2 linked regions of the Ovis aries genome follow. The protein of the gene in region 1 purifies or fractionates together with the protein of each later gene. This does not show direct contact. Links are inferred from orthologs where the notes say so. Each region holds a gene or a part of one and is shown on either strand. Other genes may lie near its edges.

Region 1 (3,805 bases):
TATATTTTTTTAAAATCAGGATATTGGAGAATAAGCTACATGAGTTTTATAACAATCCCAGTTTGTGCATTTAAAATTTTTTAAACTTTGGTGAAACACACATAACAAAATTTCCCATCTTAACCATGTTTAATGTATAGTTCAGGGGTGTTAAGTGTAAAAAGGCTTGCAGAACTGCCACTTAGTACCCACTAAACAACAGCTCCCCTGCAACTACCATCCTGCTTTCAGTCTCCATGAACCTGAGCTCTAGGCGCCTTGTACAGTTGGAATCATGGAGTTAGTAATCTTTTTGACTTGCTTATTTCATTTAGCATACTGTCATCAACCTTCACCCACGTGTCAGAATTTCCTTCCTTTCTAAGGCTGAATAGCATTCCGCTCTATGTATCTACCGCATTTTGTTTATCCATTCATCCATCAGTGGACATTAAGGTTGCTTCCACCTTTTGGCCATTATGAATAATGCTGCCTAGATCATGGTGTACAAATTCCTCTTCACCACCTTGCTTTCTGTAATTTGTACCTTTGAAGGAACGAGCCTGGAAGAATTTAGTATCCCATAGCATTGCGTATTTTACCATTTAGAAGAAGTCAGGTGCAACCCTAATTTCACCAGGCAATCTCTTTTGCAGCTTCTTAGTGTGTTGACTTTTCAAGGGCTTCTTGTGCTGTTCTTCAGCCATAGGATGAGTGCTTTGAGAATTGCCATTAACTAGAAAGTGGTGGCAGTGTAGCTTTATCTCAGTGATTGAGACACTGATCAAAGACAGAACTGTCAGTAACTTGGTATCTTACTTAAAACTGCTATTGCAGTTTCCCGTTACGTGGGGCTTGAGGTCCCACCCCATACTTCCCCAGGCCAAGAAACCGCATGGTCTTGGGGTGAAGTCTGAGGTTTGGGGGCAGTGTGCTCCACCACTGAGTGCCTTCTCACTGGCAAAGGCCTATAAATAACATCCGGGATCCTGTTTCAAAGTCAGGAAAGGGGCAAGGGCTAGCAACAACAACAAGGGCTGAGGGGGTTGCTGAAATAATTTCATGAACAAATTGATCAAAGAAATGATCTGTGAATGCATCTTGGAGAAGGGAGAACCAGCCAGCCGTGAGGACAGATAAAACTCCTCCCCTGCAAAACCGGCATGTCTTTCATGCCCTTCATTGTCTGCAGGCATGTCTGAGCCCTAGTTTAGCCCATTTGGCATTCAGAGAGCTAAGTCGGCTACACTCTCAGCTCAGAGATGACTTGAGGGTGCTGAAGTGTTTGCATTCCACCCTCCTGCAAGGAGGAAAGGGAATCTAGTTCAAGAACCAAAGCAAAGCTTACTCATCTCGTCTCATCCTTTCAGACCCGGAGATGGAGTCCTCCACCGCCCCCTAGACACAGGGTCTTCCAGCGTGAAATGCACAGAAATCAAATGCATATCCATTACAGGAGAAATGGCAGGGAGGCAGGGCTAGAGTGACAGATTCTAAAGAGCAAACATATACCTTTGTGCTCTGTCTTCTTAAGATTCATCCTCTCACCTGCCAGCCTTGAGAACTGCCTATTTACATAACTAGCTGCCTAAAATGGAATATTAGATAATGTTCTATGGCAGCCCATCCCTGGGACATGAGTGATCCAGGAGTCCTCTGACAGCACGGAGCATGGCCCGCTGGCCCACAGCCCTGCCTCCATGTACTGTGAGCCTGTCAGCACTCCGAGCTGAGCAGATGTCAGGCCCGGTCGCCCGGGTGGGAGACTAGCCGAGCAGCGGGGGAGGGGGCGTGATTCAGCACGCGGCTCCATGGCACACTGTCTTCAGGGACAGACTGTACTGCTTCTTGAGCTTCACAGCAGGCACCCTGTTCTGCCCAAGGTGCTGTCTTGGAGACTGCTGACAAAGGGGACTGAGGAATGGGGGAGCGACAGGATCTATGGGGACAACTGATCCAGGAGGTAATCAGTCAGCACTGATGCCATCCCTGGCACCATGCCAACTTCACATCGCTGTCAGTCTTTTCTGAGGCATGCATCTCTCTCCCATCAAAACTGGAATCCTGCTGCTCGCTTATAGGAGGAGTATAAATAAGTGATAAGGAAGTGTCCTGATAACGATAAGCAGGGATATCTTCTCAGCAGACCAGATGTATCAAAGAAGGCAATTGTGTGTGTGTTTGTTCATTTATTTTTCAGTGTTCCGGTTCCCGTAGTCAGTTTAGAGAAAATTCCTAACCTAGTGAAGGCAGATGGTGCCAATGTCAAAATGAACTCTACAGCCACTCCTGCGGTCCCCTCCTGCTCCACCTCATCCTCTGCCGTCTCCACCCCACCTGTCATTAAGCCGGTCTTGATGTCCAAGTCAGTGCCACCTTCCCCAGAGAAGATCTTAAATGGCAAAGGAATTTTGTCTACCACCATAGACAAGAAACACCAAAACGGCACCAAAAACAACAACAAGCCTTACAGGAGACTTTCAGGTACGTGTCTGTGTTCTTTGAGTCTGGCTCATGATCAGACTACAGCTGAGTTGCGTCCAGAACTAGGGAGTGATGTGATCTTATAATTGAACAGGTCTGTTTCATTTTAAGGGGAACACGGAGTTTACCTACAAACAGGAACTCCCATCTCAAAATGCAGGGGAGAACTGATTCTCTTAATCCCGGGCTAGATTGATGATGGCTGGGCTGAGTTAGCTCAGCACTTAGTAGGAGTTATCCTGGTTTTCCCAAGGCAGGGAGCTCTGCACCCCCACAGCACTCTGTGGATTCGGAGGGCTTTGTCCTTGCTCTGACAGGATAAATCGCCCCTAGATTCTGAAAAGTCTCAGGGCTGCAGACTTGGACAGCCCACTGTGATATCTCCCGGTAGCTCAGGGCAGGCTTGGGGCAGTCGCATTGGTGCTGACTGCCCATCTCCATCCTTTGGTCTCACTGGTTTCCGGGTTCATTCTGTGGTCTGGGGCTACAGATCCCTTTCCCACATAAGCAGACTGGAATTCCCACTTGGGAACACTTAGACTGGCATAGCAGATGGATGCTGAGGGGTCTCTCTGCAATCTACTTGGTTGTCAGAGTAGGCACTCTGGAGGTACCCAGAAAGGTGCACATGGCCAGTCCTTAAGTCAGTGGTTGGCCCTTGGGTCCCCCAAGTGGATGGTATTTGCTTTGGGTTTGTTGTGAAAGGAAATCTGGCAGTTTTACTTTCTCCAAAAGATCAAGAAAAGCTATAAATTTTATAACTTCTTCACACACCCTGGCCATTTATTAGTTGTTAACCAGAAGAAAGAAAAATATAGTTGACCCTTGAGCAAGGCAGGGATTAGGGGTGCCAGCCCTCCATGCAGTTGAAAATCCCCATATGATTTCTAGCAGGTCTTCTGTGTATGTGGTTCCTCTGTATTCACAGGTTCAACCAACCTCCAGTCGTGTAGTACTGCAGTATATACTACTGAAAAATATCCATGCACAGTCCAAACCCAAGTTATTCAAGGGTCCACCATACAGAGAAAACTGCCCTGTGAGAGAGAAGCTGTGTCCCCTGGCATGAACATAATTCCTAAGTGCCCCCAAGAATTGTGGGTCATTTTTATTTTTTACTTTGTATTTATCCGTATTTCAGGTTTTCTTTTATGTCTGTAACTTTTAAAAAGTTTAGGTCTGAAAAGTACCTTGCGCCCAAAGCATTCAAATGACACAGTTATATTACCCTGAAAATCTCTCCATGCCCTGTTCACCCACTGTCCCACAAGAAAGGCAGAGCCTGGCACTGTCTTTGAGGGTGGGGGCCTCTCTGTGTGGACAGAGCCCCTTGCACCCAGCT
Region 2 (4,291 bases), on another chromosome or scaffold:
AGAGGAGGAGGTTGGAGCGCGCTCGCGCTTGGCCTCGCGCCCGCGCGAAGGGAGGGGGAGAGGGGCGCGCGCGCGCACGCTCGCGTTCTCGCTCGCTCCATCCATCCATCCTCCGGTCGCGGCACGCGCGCGCGCTCCGGGCTCGCGCCGCACCCCCCGCCCGGGAGAGGCGGGCTGGAGTGGGGGGCGGGGGGAGGGGCGCGCGGACGGCGCGCGGACTGCGCGCGGGCGGGGTGAGGTGAGGAGGAGGAGGCGGCGACGGGACGAGAAGGGAGGGGAAGGGGCCATGGCCGCCCGGTGAGGCGGCGAGGCGGGGGGGCGGCCCGACCCCCCGGCCCCGGGCCCTGGGCCCCGGGGAGAGGCGAGGACGGACCGACGGACATGGGGCTCCGGAGCAGCCGCCGCCGCCGCCGCCGCCGGAGGACGCGGCCCTGAGAGGCCGCCGGGCCCCGGCGCGGCCCCCCGGGCGGGGTGAGTACGGGACGGAGACGGGGACGGGGGAGGGGCCTGTGGGGGGCGGGGGGCGGGGCCCGAGGCGGGGCTTGGGCCCCCTCCCCCCAGGTCTGGGTCAGCGCCCCTTCCCCTCCCCCAGGGCCGACGCGGAAACGCCCGGCTTCCCCCGGCTTCCCGGCCCGGCCGGGGCCCCCAGCTCTCCCCCTGTCTGGGTCCCCCCTGGGCGGGGCAGGGCCGGCCGGGGAGGGGGCGCGGGGCCTTTGTTAGGGAGCCAGGCCCCAGCCCCCGGGACAATAGAGACACCCTCCCGGACTCCTCTCCCCGGCCGGCCGGGGCTGTCGGCGGGCGGGGAAGAAGAGGGGCCGGGACGTGTCCCACTCTGCCCACTCTCTAGGGGTCGGTCTGTCCCGGAGCGGCGCCGGCCTCCGGCGGCTCGGCTCTCCTCCCCCCAGTCGGTATGATGCGGCAGCAGTGCCGCAGGGACGGGGGAAGAGCCGAGGCCCGGCCTCCTACCCTCCCCAGTGCCCCCGGCTCATTTGTCAGTCCCCACCCCACTCTAGGCCGGCAGCTCCTTAAACTCGTACCCACCGTTCAGAGGGGCCCCGGACTGTGTGCTCTGTTTCTGAATCCTTTGGTGGGGATTCCTGGACTTTGGGGCTCTTGGAGAGACTTCCGGGCTGGTCCTGAGGGAGGGAGGGTGGTTATCTCAAAGAAGAACAGGTAAGGGGAGTGCCCACTCCTGGCATGCCATCCCACCGGATTCTACCTCCTTTTTCTTGCTCATGGTGGCTAGGATGGCCTTTTAGCTCTAGGTTTCTGTGGGCTCTGCTCTCCGTCTGTAGTGGCAGGCTTATTTCAAGGGAAGACAGAGTGGGGTGAAGGTTGTAGGGTCCTAGGGCCATTGCTACTTCTGGTAGCAGTACCCCCCCAAGTGGACATCCTGGCTGAAAGCAGAGGTGACTCTGAGGAGAGCCTGGGGAGGGGGGGGAGTGTATTTAGGAGTCTGTGCAGTTCTTTGCCACACCCTGTGGGTTTGCTTTGAGGCCTTAGAGTTCCTTCTCCTCCCCCTGCTGCATTGCACCATGGGTATGGAAGAGGGGTTTGAGTTTTGGGAACCTGGGGTGAGCTGCCGCCTCCTGTAAACCCAGACTCTGATTGGCAGTAAGAGTCCAGGGCCTGAGTTCAGGCCTGGGAAGGACTAGGCCGCCCTTGGGTTTCAGGCCCTGCAGGACCATCCAGACTTAACCGAGGCCTTAGGGAGAGGTAGATCTTGATGCCACCATTAAGCTCTGGGCAGCGAGGTGGGGAGGGGAGGTGGCAGCCATCGGAGGTGCCTTGGACTCACACCAACATCCCCCCCACATGTGTGCAGCCGTGTTGCCGCCCGCTGTGCTATGAGCAGTCAGAGCACCGTCTCCACAAGAGTTCACAAATGAAAATGGAGGAAATGTCTTTGTCTGGCCTGGATAACAGCAAACTAGAGGTGAGGGCTCCCCCACGTGTGCCTCCAGTTCTTTCTCTTGATGTCTGTCCTTCGCTATATCTGGAATCCACACCAGAGAGGAATTTGGGTAGTCAGCCTTGTTCCTTAAAGGGAAGAGCCAGCTAAGAAGGCCCAAGGATCCGGAAGAAGAAAGAACTCAAAATCAAGATGGGAAAAAATGGCAAAGGAAGCTTTATTTTTGGCCAGGGCGAATTGGCAGGAGATTTGGTTGGTGAGAGTTGCCCTCAGTCCATGGGACTGTGACTCTGGTGACCCTGGATGTTCTCCCCTGGGCCCAGGCCATCGCTCAGGAGATATACGCGGACCTGGTTGAGGATTCTTGTTTGGGATTCTGCTTTGAGGTACACCGGGCTGTCAAGTGTGGCTACTTCTTCCTGGACGACACGGACCCTGAGAGCATGAAGGATTTTGGTGAGCGTCAGGGTTGAAGGAGAGCAGCCTAGCCCTTCCCTGGGAGTGCTTGGAGGGTCCTTCTCCAGCAACCACACCAGAGGTAGAACCTAGAGCTCCTGGGAGCTTAGGCAGGGGCTCTGAAGAGGCCACAGGGCCATGGGTGGGAACGAGAGGTAAGGGCCCCTTGCCTGCCCTGATCGCTACGTCTCTCCTGTCCCCAGAGATCGTGGACCAGCCGGGTTTGGACATCTTTGGACAGGTTTTCAACCAGTGGAAGAGCAAGGAGTGTGTTTGCCCCAATTGCAGCCGAAGCATTGCCGCCTCCCGTTTTGCTCCCCACCTGGAGAAGTGCCTAGGAATGGGTCGGAACAGCAGCCGAATCGCCAACCGCCGGTGAGGGCTTCTTCTGCTAGAACCAGAGTGCCCATCTTTTGCAGCCCATCCCATGGTGGAGTTCCCCACCACCCCCTGGGACATTTGGAGGGTATAGAGGGTGGGTCGCGCCTGGCCCCAGATGCTCCCCTCTACGTGTGAAGTCGGGCAGAGAGAGATGGCAGCCTTGACCCTTCCTCTTCCCTCCCCTCGGCAGGATTGCCAATAGCAACAACATGAACAAGTCAGAGAGTGACCAAGAGGATAATGATGACATCAATGACAACGACTGGTCCTATGGCTCAGAGAAGAAAGGTGTTTGGGCATCTGGGGAATTGGGAGGGCCATCGGGGTGAGGCAGGCAGGCAGGAATTGAGTGTGTAACAGTCACAAGTTGTTATCCCTAATGAGGGAGGAGAGTGTAGCTTTGTAACTTTTCTTTAGGTGCTCTTAGATTGGGAACTTAAAGTGACCCTGCCCTTTACCCTTTTGTCCTACACAGCCAAGAAGAGAAAATCAGACAAGGTAAGAGCCGGGGCAAGCATGAGGGAGATTTGGGCCAAGGACAGATACCCTCCCCTTTGGGCAGGGAGTCCTCGGGTGTCTTGACTCAAGTCTGAGGTCACTGGGTACCTCTCTGGGTTCAGGGCCGAGGGTGTCTGGTGGGCAGGAGGGCAGCAGAGGCCTGGGGGGTAGGTGGGAGGAGGGAGTATGGGTGAAAGGCCTCTTACTGGTGGGAAAGAGTAGAAATTTGAGGATGTTTGTCAAATCTTTTTTCCTTCCCTGGGTTCTCGGCTCCCCCTTATCGTTACCCTTTCCCCAAAGCTATGGTATCTCCCATTCCAGAACCCCAATTCCCCTCGAAGATCCAAGTCTTTAAAACACAAAAATGGTAAGTGGGGTGGAACAATGGGAGTGATTCTAACTATGTCTTCTGGGACTTGTTGCTGGAGGGTGGAGGTGGAGGGGCAGGGGAATCGAGGGAGGGCCTGTGATCCTTCTATCACCCCCACTTCCTCTCTGGTTATTTTCAGGGTTCTCTGTCTGTACCTCTGCATCAAACACCCTTCCCCTTCTTTTTTCTTCTTCAGGGGAACTTAGCAATTCGGATCCTTTTAAGGTGAGTAGGGGCTATCCCTCGTAGGTTCCCTCTCAGTATTTGCCTCGTTGTGAGTCGGGTGGGCTTGGACAAGTCGGGGTCAGAACGCTAACTAGATGGGTGTCTCGGTCTTGGGTATTCATGTTCTTTGTGGGTCCTAATTCGTTACCCTGGTGCAGTTGGGGTGGAAGGAACTGTTGGAGAACTGCGGGCAACCTTAAGGCCTTAGTGCTGAGGGAGGGACGAGAGGGACTGACTCCACACCCCCACCCTCCCTTCTTTGGCCGTCCCTCCTCTAACTTGTACCTCTGGTTCTCACCCAGTATAACAACTCAACTGGGATCAGCTACGAGACCCTGGGGCCAGAGGAGCTGCGCAGCCTGCTCACCACGGTGAGGGATCAGAGAAGCGGGGAAGCCCTTGGGAGCAGGCAGAGCCACAGGCAGTGGTCGAGGCCCTGGAAGAGGCTG

The links.
Region 2: the proteins of ATXN7L1 (region 1) and ATXN7L3 purify together in Homo sapiens (affinity purification with mass spectrometry; 5 studies listed by BioGRID and IntAct, counting the BioPlex papers as one, with this or other methods). This does not show direct contact. The link is inferred for Ovis aries from reciprocal best matches to the Homo sapiens genes ATXN7L1 and ATXN7L3.

What each region holds. Positions count from the first base shown.
Region 1 is NC_056057.1:48,237,466-48,241,270, reverse strand, and holds part of ATXN7L1 (ataxin-7-like protein 1), read left to right. Parts: intron 1-2,179; coding exon 2,180-2,463; intron 2,464-3,805.
Region 2 is NC_056064.1:43,750,719-43,755,009, reverse strand, and holds the start of ATXN7L3 (ataxin-7-like protein 3), read left to right. Parts: upstream 1-1,474; 5' UTR 1,475-1,726; coding exon 1,727-1,936; intron 1,937-2,235; coding exon 2,236-2,368; intron 2,369-2,571; coding exon 2,572-2,743; intron 2,744-2,939; coding exon 2,940-3,037; intron 3,038-3,224; coding exon 3,225-3,247; intron 3,248-3,547; coding exon 3,548-3,614; intron 3,615-3,756; coding exon 3,757-3,842; intron 3,843-4,144; coding exon 4,145-4,213; intron 4,214-4,291. UniProt on the Homo sapiens protein: Component of the transcription regulatory histone acetylation (HAT) complex SAGA, a multiprotein complex that activates transcription by remodeling chromatin and mediating histone acetylation and deubiquitination.